Yarrowia lipolytica: one gene and its partner. The protein of the gene in region 2 interacts with the protein of the main gene of each other region in a biochemical or structural test. Links are inferred from orthologs where the notes say so. Each region holds a gene or a part of one and is shown on either strand. Other genes may lie near its edges.

Region 1 (3,821 bases), on a different chromosome or scaffold from region 2:
GTTTGTGGTAAAGAAACGGTTTATTTGGGGTGTCTACTTTACTTGTAGCAGAGGATACGGGGCTCTAGCCTTCCAAATGGGTACTGACGGATCTTTTGATCTGATTGTACTAGCGTGAGAGGTTGTTGCTGACCAGAAGAGTTATTGTAACGTTGAAAAGGTAATTCGGCCAGCTGTTTACAATAGGTAGTCTGACCTGGTACAGTATACTCTTCCTCCTAACAATCCTCGAAGTACATGAGAAGAGGCATTGGTAGTCTTCAGAATGACTGGCTACTCATAATTGGGGGTGTCCTATGATGCCTCTACTGTTACTTGTACGAACACAAGTACATACTATGGTTGTGCAAGCAAGACGAAACGCTCTCAAGAACACCACCTGCCTGAATTTGTAACATTTGCGTACAGCACTTGTAGCTACAGCATGATACATACTGGAAGAAAGGGTGTGCAGTCGCTAGTTTAAGATACTACAAGATATTACAACACTAATTTATCATCAATAAAGACGAATCAAATAGAGGGATGTGCTTTCGTTGTTTACTCCCTTGTTTCACCATTTTTTCACTGTTCTTTTGATCATAATATTCAGAAGCTGACTCCACTGTCTGCCTCCTTCTTTTGCCTATTCTGCCTCGCCTTTTACAAGGAACTATTTTTCGCGCCGTGCTCTGCATTAAGTTTGTGCGCGTGTCATTTTGTTTCATTTGGACGGGATGTAGACAAGGCACCAGGAGGGGGATAATAAGAGACTGACAGTAGATAAATATCCATAAAATATATATGAGAACCCGTAGCTCCCATATGTCCGTAGAACAAAAAAAAAACACGTACCATCATCTCTCTAGCTTGCTTCCGCTATCAGGGCTCAGATATGCATAAGATCAGGTGCTCGCGCACACAAGGCAACTTTCATCACCCTACCAGCACAACTACAACCACACCCGACTATGGACTTTCTCACCAAGGCCATTGGCACCGTCTCGTCGTACGGCTCCAAGCTGCCGTTTGTGCTGGGCGACGCGACGCAAAAGGCCAGCGAGGGCAGATCGCTATGGACGGTATATGATGCGACCCTCAAGTCCAATTCTTCCGACTGCACCGTGTTTGAATTTGTCGCTGACCAGACATATCCTCGTGACCGCATTGTTGTTGTCAAACACTTCGCACGGTCGCTCAAAACTTATCGTTTTCCGGGTATTCTCAAGGTCCACGACACGGTTGAAACAGACACTTCGGTACACGTTGTGACTGAAAGATGCAGATCTCTGGCACAGGTGATCCGAGACTCCAAGGACGAGCTATCGGCCGACCGAATTTTGTGGGGACTCTACTTTGTGACCGAAACGCTCAAACAAATCAACGCAGAAGGAGCTTCAACTCACGGCAACATCTCTCTCGACTCCATCTTCATCACAGCTTCTGGAGAATGGAAGGTGGGGGGTCTGGAACTTATCACCGCCCAGAAAGACGCTCAGAGTGCTCTGGCTTCATTTGGACCTCTTCTTCCTAACTCCTCAAACAATGCCCCTCCTGAAATCAAGAACCAAGGATACCAGTCTGCCCAGAGCGCAGCCTCCAAGCTGGCCATTGATTCCTGGCAGTTTGGAAACCTGCTGCAGTCTCTCTACACAGCTGTGGGTGTGGATATGCCTGCTGGAATGCCCGCCATGGTATCTCAGATGACCAGCGTCAAGCCTGAGAAGCGACCTCGTATCCCCAAGTTCCTGGAACAGGCGCAGGTCTCGTTTTTCGGCGACCATGACATGATTTCCGTGTCCCAGGACATCTCTCAGTTCCATATCATTTCCGAACCCATGGAGCGACGCCATGTGCTGGAAACACTTACAAAATTTAGGCAGGCGTTCCCCCCTGCATACCTGGCTTCCAGCGTTATCCCCGAGCTCCTTAGAGCTCTGACTCCACCTACACCGTCGTCATCTCAGATCAACTTGTCCAACGACCCCGGTGTCTTCCAATCTGACTCAGAGAGACCCCAGATTCTCGTATGCATCTTGGCCCTGGCTGAGGGACTGTCTTCCAAGGACTATGCAACTCTGGTGATCCCCACCATCGCCAAGATGTACACTTGTCCCGATAGACCTATTCGAATGGCTCTTCTGGAGGCCCTGCCTTCTTATGCCCCCCATGTGTCCGAGAAGGTGGCCTCTGATCAGATTTTCCCTCAGTTTATCACCGGTTTCTCCGATACATCCCCTCTCATTCGAGAGTCCACTGTAAAGGCTGTGTTGCCGCTGATTCCTCATCTTAATTCCCGAATCAAAAACAACGATCTTCTGCGCTACCTCGCCAAGACTCACAACGACAAGGAGCCCGGTATTCGAACGAACACCACCGTCATTCTCGGCAAGATTGCTGACGAGCTGTCTTCCTCTGCACGAACAGGTATTCTGGTGACTGCGTTTGGTCGAGCTCTCAAGGACCCCTTCGTACACACACGAAACGCTGCTCTTTTGGCATTGGCCTCCAACATGGACATTTTCGATGCGTCCTCCATCGTCAACAAGGTGCTGCCTGCCATTGCTCCTAGTCTCATTGACAACGATCCTGCTATTCGCGCTCAAGCGAAATTGACCTTTGACGAGTTTCTGGCTGAAGTTGTCAAGCATACCTATAATCTGGATGATGATACCGAGATCACTGAGCCTCCTCAGTCGTCAGTTACACTCTTGGCCACCAAACAGAAGGAGAAGGATGCATCCAAGACCGAGGCAGGCTCTGCGTGGTCTCTTTCGTGGTCCTCTCCTTTCACATTTGGTACTAAAACCCAATCCACATCTTCCTCCACTGCCGGAACTCCCGTGGTGGCTCAAGGCACCATCTCTCGACAGGAGTCCCCTGCTCCTATTGTTGACGAAGTTGATTCACTGGCTTCCGCAGCCCGAACCATGTCCATCAAGCCCAAGAGCGGTCTCTCTCTCGGCTCCACCAAGCCCAAGCTTGCTGCTAGTGGCCTAGGTATCAAAAGTACTCTTGCTACAAAGAAACCAGCTGCTCCTCCTACCCTGCAAGACAACGACGGCTGGGGTCTGGATGACAACTGGGACGATGGATCTGACGGCGAGGTGGTCATCAAGGAGGCCCCCAAAACTAAGCCTGCTCCCAAGACCAAGAAGCCTGCCAAACTGGATCTGGATGACGATGAAGATGGAGATGATGATGGCTGGGACAATTGGTAGGACTAATGGTTCATATAGATGATATTGCCGATGACGGGAGTCCGTGAAAATAAGAGTTGAAAAGAGACTCGTGTATGTAAATCTCCACATTATTAATATTGGTTTGTACGCTGTTCGTTCATTTGAAAGTCAATTAATCTATACCATTTTTTCTATGAAGTTTTAGTTAGTCTACCATCGGGAGTTGGAAAGAGGAGCGGAGTTGGAGCCGGTGATGTCGGAACCTCGTCCTCCACCATAGCCACCGCCGCCGTAGCCACCTCGTCGGTAACCACCACGGCCGCCACGGCCGCCTCGACCGCCTCGGCCTCCCCAGCCTCCTCGGCCACCTCGGCCACCGCCCATCTCCTCCAGCTTGGGGTCGATATGCTGCTTGGCCTCTCGCAGGATGACGAGAAGGTCTCGGGCCTGCTTTCGGTTGTCCTCGGTGAAGTAGGTGTAAGCGGTACCCTTGGTGCCGGCTCGACCAGTTCGACCGATTCGGTGGACATAGTCCTCGGAGTTGGAGGGGTAGTCGTAGTTGATAACGAAGTTGATACCCTTGACATCTAGAGTTAGTATTTGGAAGAACAGAATAAATGAATGTGGAAGTTCAACATATGAAGCAAAGGAAAGGATGGT
Region 2 (3,926 bases):
CCGCAGTCAGATCCACGGGCTCGAGGAATTGGATCTTACCGAAGCCCTTTCGGCCCACCACAAAGTTGGGCACGGCCTTGAGCTGTTCGGTGGTCATGGTCTTGAGAGCCATGAGTCGGGGAGAGAACCAGTAGCCCTGATCATCGACAATCTCCTCGTCCGAAGTTTGGGTGGCAGTGGGAGAAGCAGTGGCGGAGGACTCCACAGACACAGCCTTGTGAATAGGAGAGGCCGTAGACTTGGGGAAGAATGAAGGAGTTCCTGACTGAGAAACGGGAGCCATTTCAAGCGAGTCAGGGTCGTTCAAACCATTTAACACGGAGTTGTCTCCAGCCGCAGAGAAAGACACTGACTTCTTTCGCTGCTGGCTGTTCGGAGTACTGAGAGATGATTTGAGAGGAGCCTTGGAAGGAGTATCATGGACGTTTTGGTGCTGGTGAGGATCCTCCAGCTCAGGGTCCTCGCCCTGAGTCAGACGTCGCAGCTCAGCCTCGTCGCCAGAACGGTCAATGACCAGCTTTCGGATCTCTCGTCGAGGCACAAAGGCGTCCGACCCCAGCAAGAACTCATCTGTCTTGGGAGAGAACAGAGAGTGGCGAGGCTTGCTGGCCGTGGACATAGATGTGTTGCCCACGCTAGACACAGAAGTGTTGCCAGCAGAGGCGACCTCGGGTAGAGAGATTCGCTCAAACCGGTCCTCCGGGTAGTTTCGCTGGTGCGCAACATGCTCGGAAGCAATGGCAGACGTCTTCTTTCGAGGCTGGAACAGTGGTCGAGACGACGAAAGGTAAGATGCAGAAGATACGCCGTTGTTGCCGCTCTTGGCTCCGCTCTTGGAGGTTAGAGAGGTGGTCAGAGGATCCTTGGCAGTGCCGTTGGAACCAGAAGAGGTCAGAGCAGGAGGAGTCTGACCAGAGAACAAGGGGTTGTTCGAGTAGGGGTTCTGGTCAATGGACGCCGTGAGCGAAGGAGTCTGGTTGTTTCTGGCACCCATGTTGTTCATGTTATTGTTATTCATGGCATTGTTGTTGCCGAACAGACCGCCACCAGTAGAGGTGTTAGCGTTATTGTTGGCGTTATTGTTACCGAACAATCCACCGCCAGTGTTGCTGGTGTTAGCGTTGTTGTTGCCAAACAGACCTCCTCCGGTGTTGGAGGTGTTGGTGGTGTTGTTGCTGCCAAACAGACCTCCTCCAGTAGTCGCAGGCTTGGCACCAAACAGACCTCCACCGGTGGTAGCAGAGGTGTTGGAGGCGGCGTTGTTGTTTCCAAACAGCCCTCCGCCAGTGGTGTTGGTAGTGGTGGTTGAGCTGTTGTTTCCGAAAAGACCGCCGGTTGCAGGCTTGTTCTGGCCGAAGAGGCCTCCTCCGGTGGCTCCAGTGTTGGAAGAGGCATTGTTGTTGTTCTGGCCAAACGAGAAGCCTCCTCCAGTAGTACCGGTCGAGGCAGGAGTGGTGGTGTTCTGGCCAAACAGCCCTCCAGTAGCAGGTTTGTTCTGGCCAAACAAACCGCCACCGGTGGTCCCAGTGTTGGCAGTGTTGTTGTTCTGGCCAAACCCTCCGAAACCTCCACCAGTGTTTGTGTTAGTGTTGTTATTATTGCCGAACAATCCACCGCCTGTATTGGTGTTAGTGTTGTTGTTAGTGTTGCCAAACAGTCCTCCGCCGGTTGTAGTGCCTGTGTTGGTTGCTCCGAAACCGGTAGTTGCGGGCTTCTGTCCAAACAGGCCTCCTCCAGAAGTGTTGTTGTTCGCACCAAATGCGTTATTCGTAGTGTTGGTGTTGTTTGTCTGACCGAACAGACCTCCCCCGCTGTTGTTGGTGTTATTGTTCTGACCAAACAGCCCTCCACCTGAGGTATTGTTGTTAGCCTGGCCAAACATTCCGCCGCCGGTGTTGGTGTTGGTGTTGGTGTTGGTGTTGCCAAAGAGACCACCCCCAGTGTTGTTGGTCTGGCCGAAACTGGTGGTAGCAGGCTTATTCTGACCGAAACCGAAGCCAGTAGAGGTGGAAGTCTGGCCAAATCCCCCCGAGGTGTTGTTGGTGGTGTTATTGTTACCGAACAGACCTCCGCCAGAGTTGTTGGTGGTGTTGTTCTGGCCAAATCCTCCGCCGAAACCGCCAGTGGTGTTGGTGTTAGCGTTGTTCTGTCCGAATCCACCTCCGAAGCCACTGGTGGTGTTGGAGGTGTTGTTGGTGCTTCCGAACATGCCTCCACCAGTGTTGCCACTGCCGAAAGACGAGGTACCACCAAAGGGCGAGGGCTTGGCAGCCCCAAATGCACCGGTGTTGCTAGTGGCGTTGTTGTTCTGACCGAATCCGCCGAATCCACCAGTGTTGCTGGTGGTGTTGGAGCCAAAGCCTCCAGAAGTGGACGAGGTACCAAATCCACCACCAGTGTTGGTGTTGGAGCTTCCAAACAGGCCCCCAGTAGCGGGTTTGTTCTGGCCGAACCCGCCACCAAAAGTATTGCCACCCGAAGTGGAAGAGTTTCCAAACGGCGAGTTGTTGGTGTTGGAAGAAGATCCAAAGGGAGAAGCGGTGTTGGCAGCCCCAAAGGTGTTGGTGGCCGTGGCGCCAGCAGTGCCGTACTGCTTACCCTGTTGGTAATCAGCCAGCCGCAGCTCCTCCTGAGACCAAGTGCGATACTGAGGCATCATGGTGATGGTCTCGTAGATGTTGGTCATCATCTTTCCGTTGGCAGTATCCTTGTCGGTAAACGGCTGAAAGGGAGTAAGAGTGGTACCGGGGCATTGACCAGGAGAAGGGGTCGAAGACGAGCCGAAGGGGGATGAAGAAGCTGCCCCAAACGCATTGGTGGAGGTGTTGGTGTTCGAGGCTCCAAATCCACCGCCACCAAAAGTGCTGGTGGCTGGCTTAGCCCCAAACATTCCGCCTCCAGAAGATGCATTGTTGGTGTTGCCGAAAAGACCGCCGCCAGACGAGTTGTTGTTGTTACCGAACGACGAGCCGCCGCCAAATGTCGTGTTGCTGCTTCCGAACATGGCTTTCAAGACGGGAGCAATGAGATCTTGGTGTGATGTTGAGTCTGTGTCAGCCTTTTTTTTCCTGCCTATAAATCATTAAATTGTATGAGTTGGGAGGTGGTTCGCAGGTAGGGTAACTCAACTTTGGGCATGTGTGAGGAGCAACTTGAGCAGTCAGTATCAACTTTGAAAGTGTTTCAAGCAACAAAATTAAATTTTACTGAAATAGTGGAGAAACGAGCTCACGAGTCTGTTTGTCCGATGTTTCTTTTCTGAGGGGCTCATATATCATGTCCCATGTTTTGTAGGGTTTCGCCACTTACAAATATTGTCAATAGTTGACCTTTTCTCAGATGTATGTATACGATTAAATGTATTGTGTTGTATGTATTGTTGCATGCATAAACTGATCTTGCTGGAATGTGTAACAACAGGACGTGTCAGGTTGTGTGTGTACATATTGTACTCTGCGAACGCAGTGTTTATCTTACCTGCATTCTTTGATGAGTATTACTCGTTGTTATTGGTTTTCTTTATGCAACTACTATTTATGCAACGCGTCGTTATAGAGCTCCTATGGTTGTTCTGAGGACATCTTAATTATTTTGTTCTACGGAAATACATTTTCAGGGTTTTTCATTTTTGATTTCTGGGATGTTTTTTTATTTTTTATTTTTTATTTTTAATCTTTGGATGTATTACACACTTTTTGTTTATCCTAATGATCCATTTTTCTTTTCTCGTTTTTTCTTTTTTATATTTTTTTTAACTAATGATTCATTACAGCTCAATTTTTTTTTATTCTGATGATTCATTACTCAATTTTTTTATTCTAATCAGCTGACTAATCAAATGTACGGTATTCTACGTCCAATTTTCTTTTTTCAATATCGTTAAACATGCCTGGCTAGCTCAATCGGTAGAGCGTGAGACTCTTATT

What was found.
Region 1: the proteins of YALI1_F35938g (region 2) and YALI1_E32636g form a complex in vitro, tested with the Saccharomyces cerevisiae proteins (2 studies listed by BioGRID). The link is inferred for Yarrowia lipolytica from reciprocal best matches to the Saccharomyces cerevisiae genes NUP116 and CEX1.

What each region holds. Positions count from the first base shown.
Region 1 is NC_090774.1:3,262,720-3,266,540, forward strand, and holds YALI1_E32636g (uncharacterized protein), read left to right. Parts: upstream 1-950; coding exon 951-3,200; downstream 3,201-3,821. Other genes in the region: YALI1_E32664g (uncharacterized protein), read right to left, coding at 3,372-3,748. UniProt on the Saccharomyces cerevisiae protein: Component of the nuclear tRNA export machinery that my collect tRNA from the nuclear tRNA export receptors of the aminoacylation-dependent export and may deliver aminoacylated tRNAs to the translation machinery pathway at the nuclear pore complex.
Region 2 is NC_090775.1:3,592,896-3,596,821, reverse strand, and holds the start of YALI1_F35938g (uncharacterized protein), read right to left. Parts: upstream 3,005-3,926; coding exon 1-3,004. UniProt on the Saccharomyces cerevisiae protein: Functions as a component of the nuclear pore complex (NPC).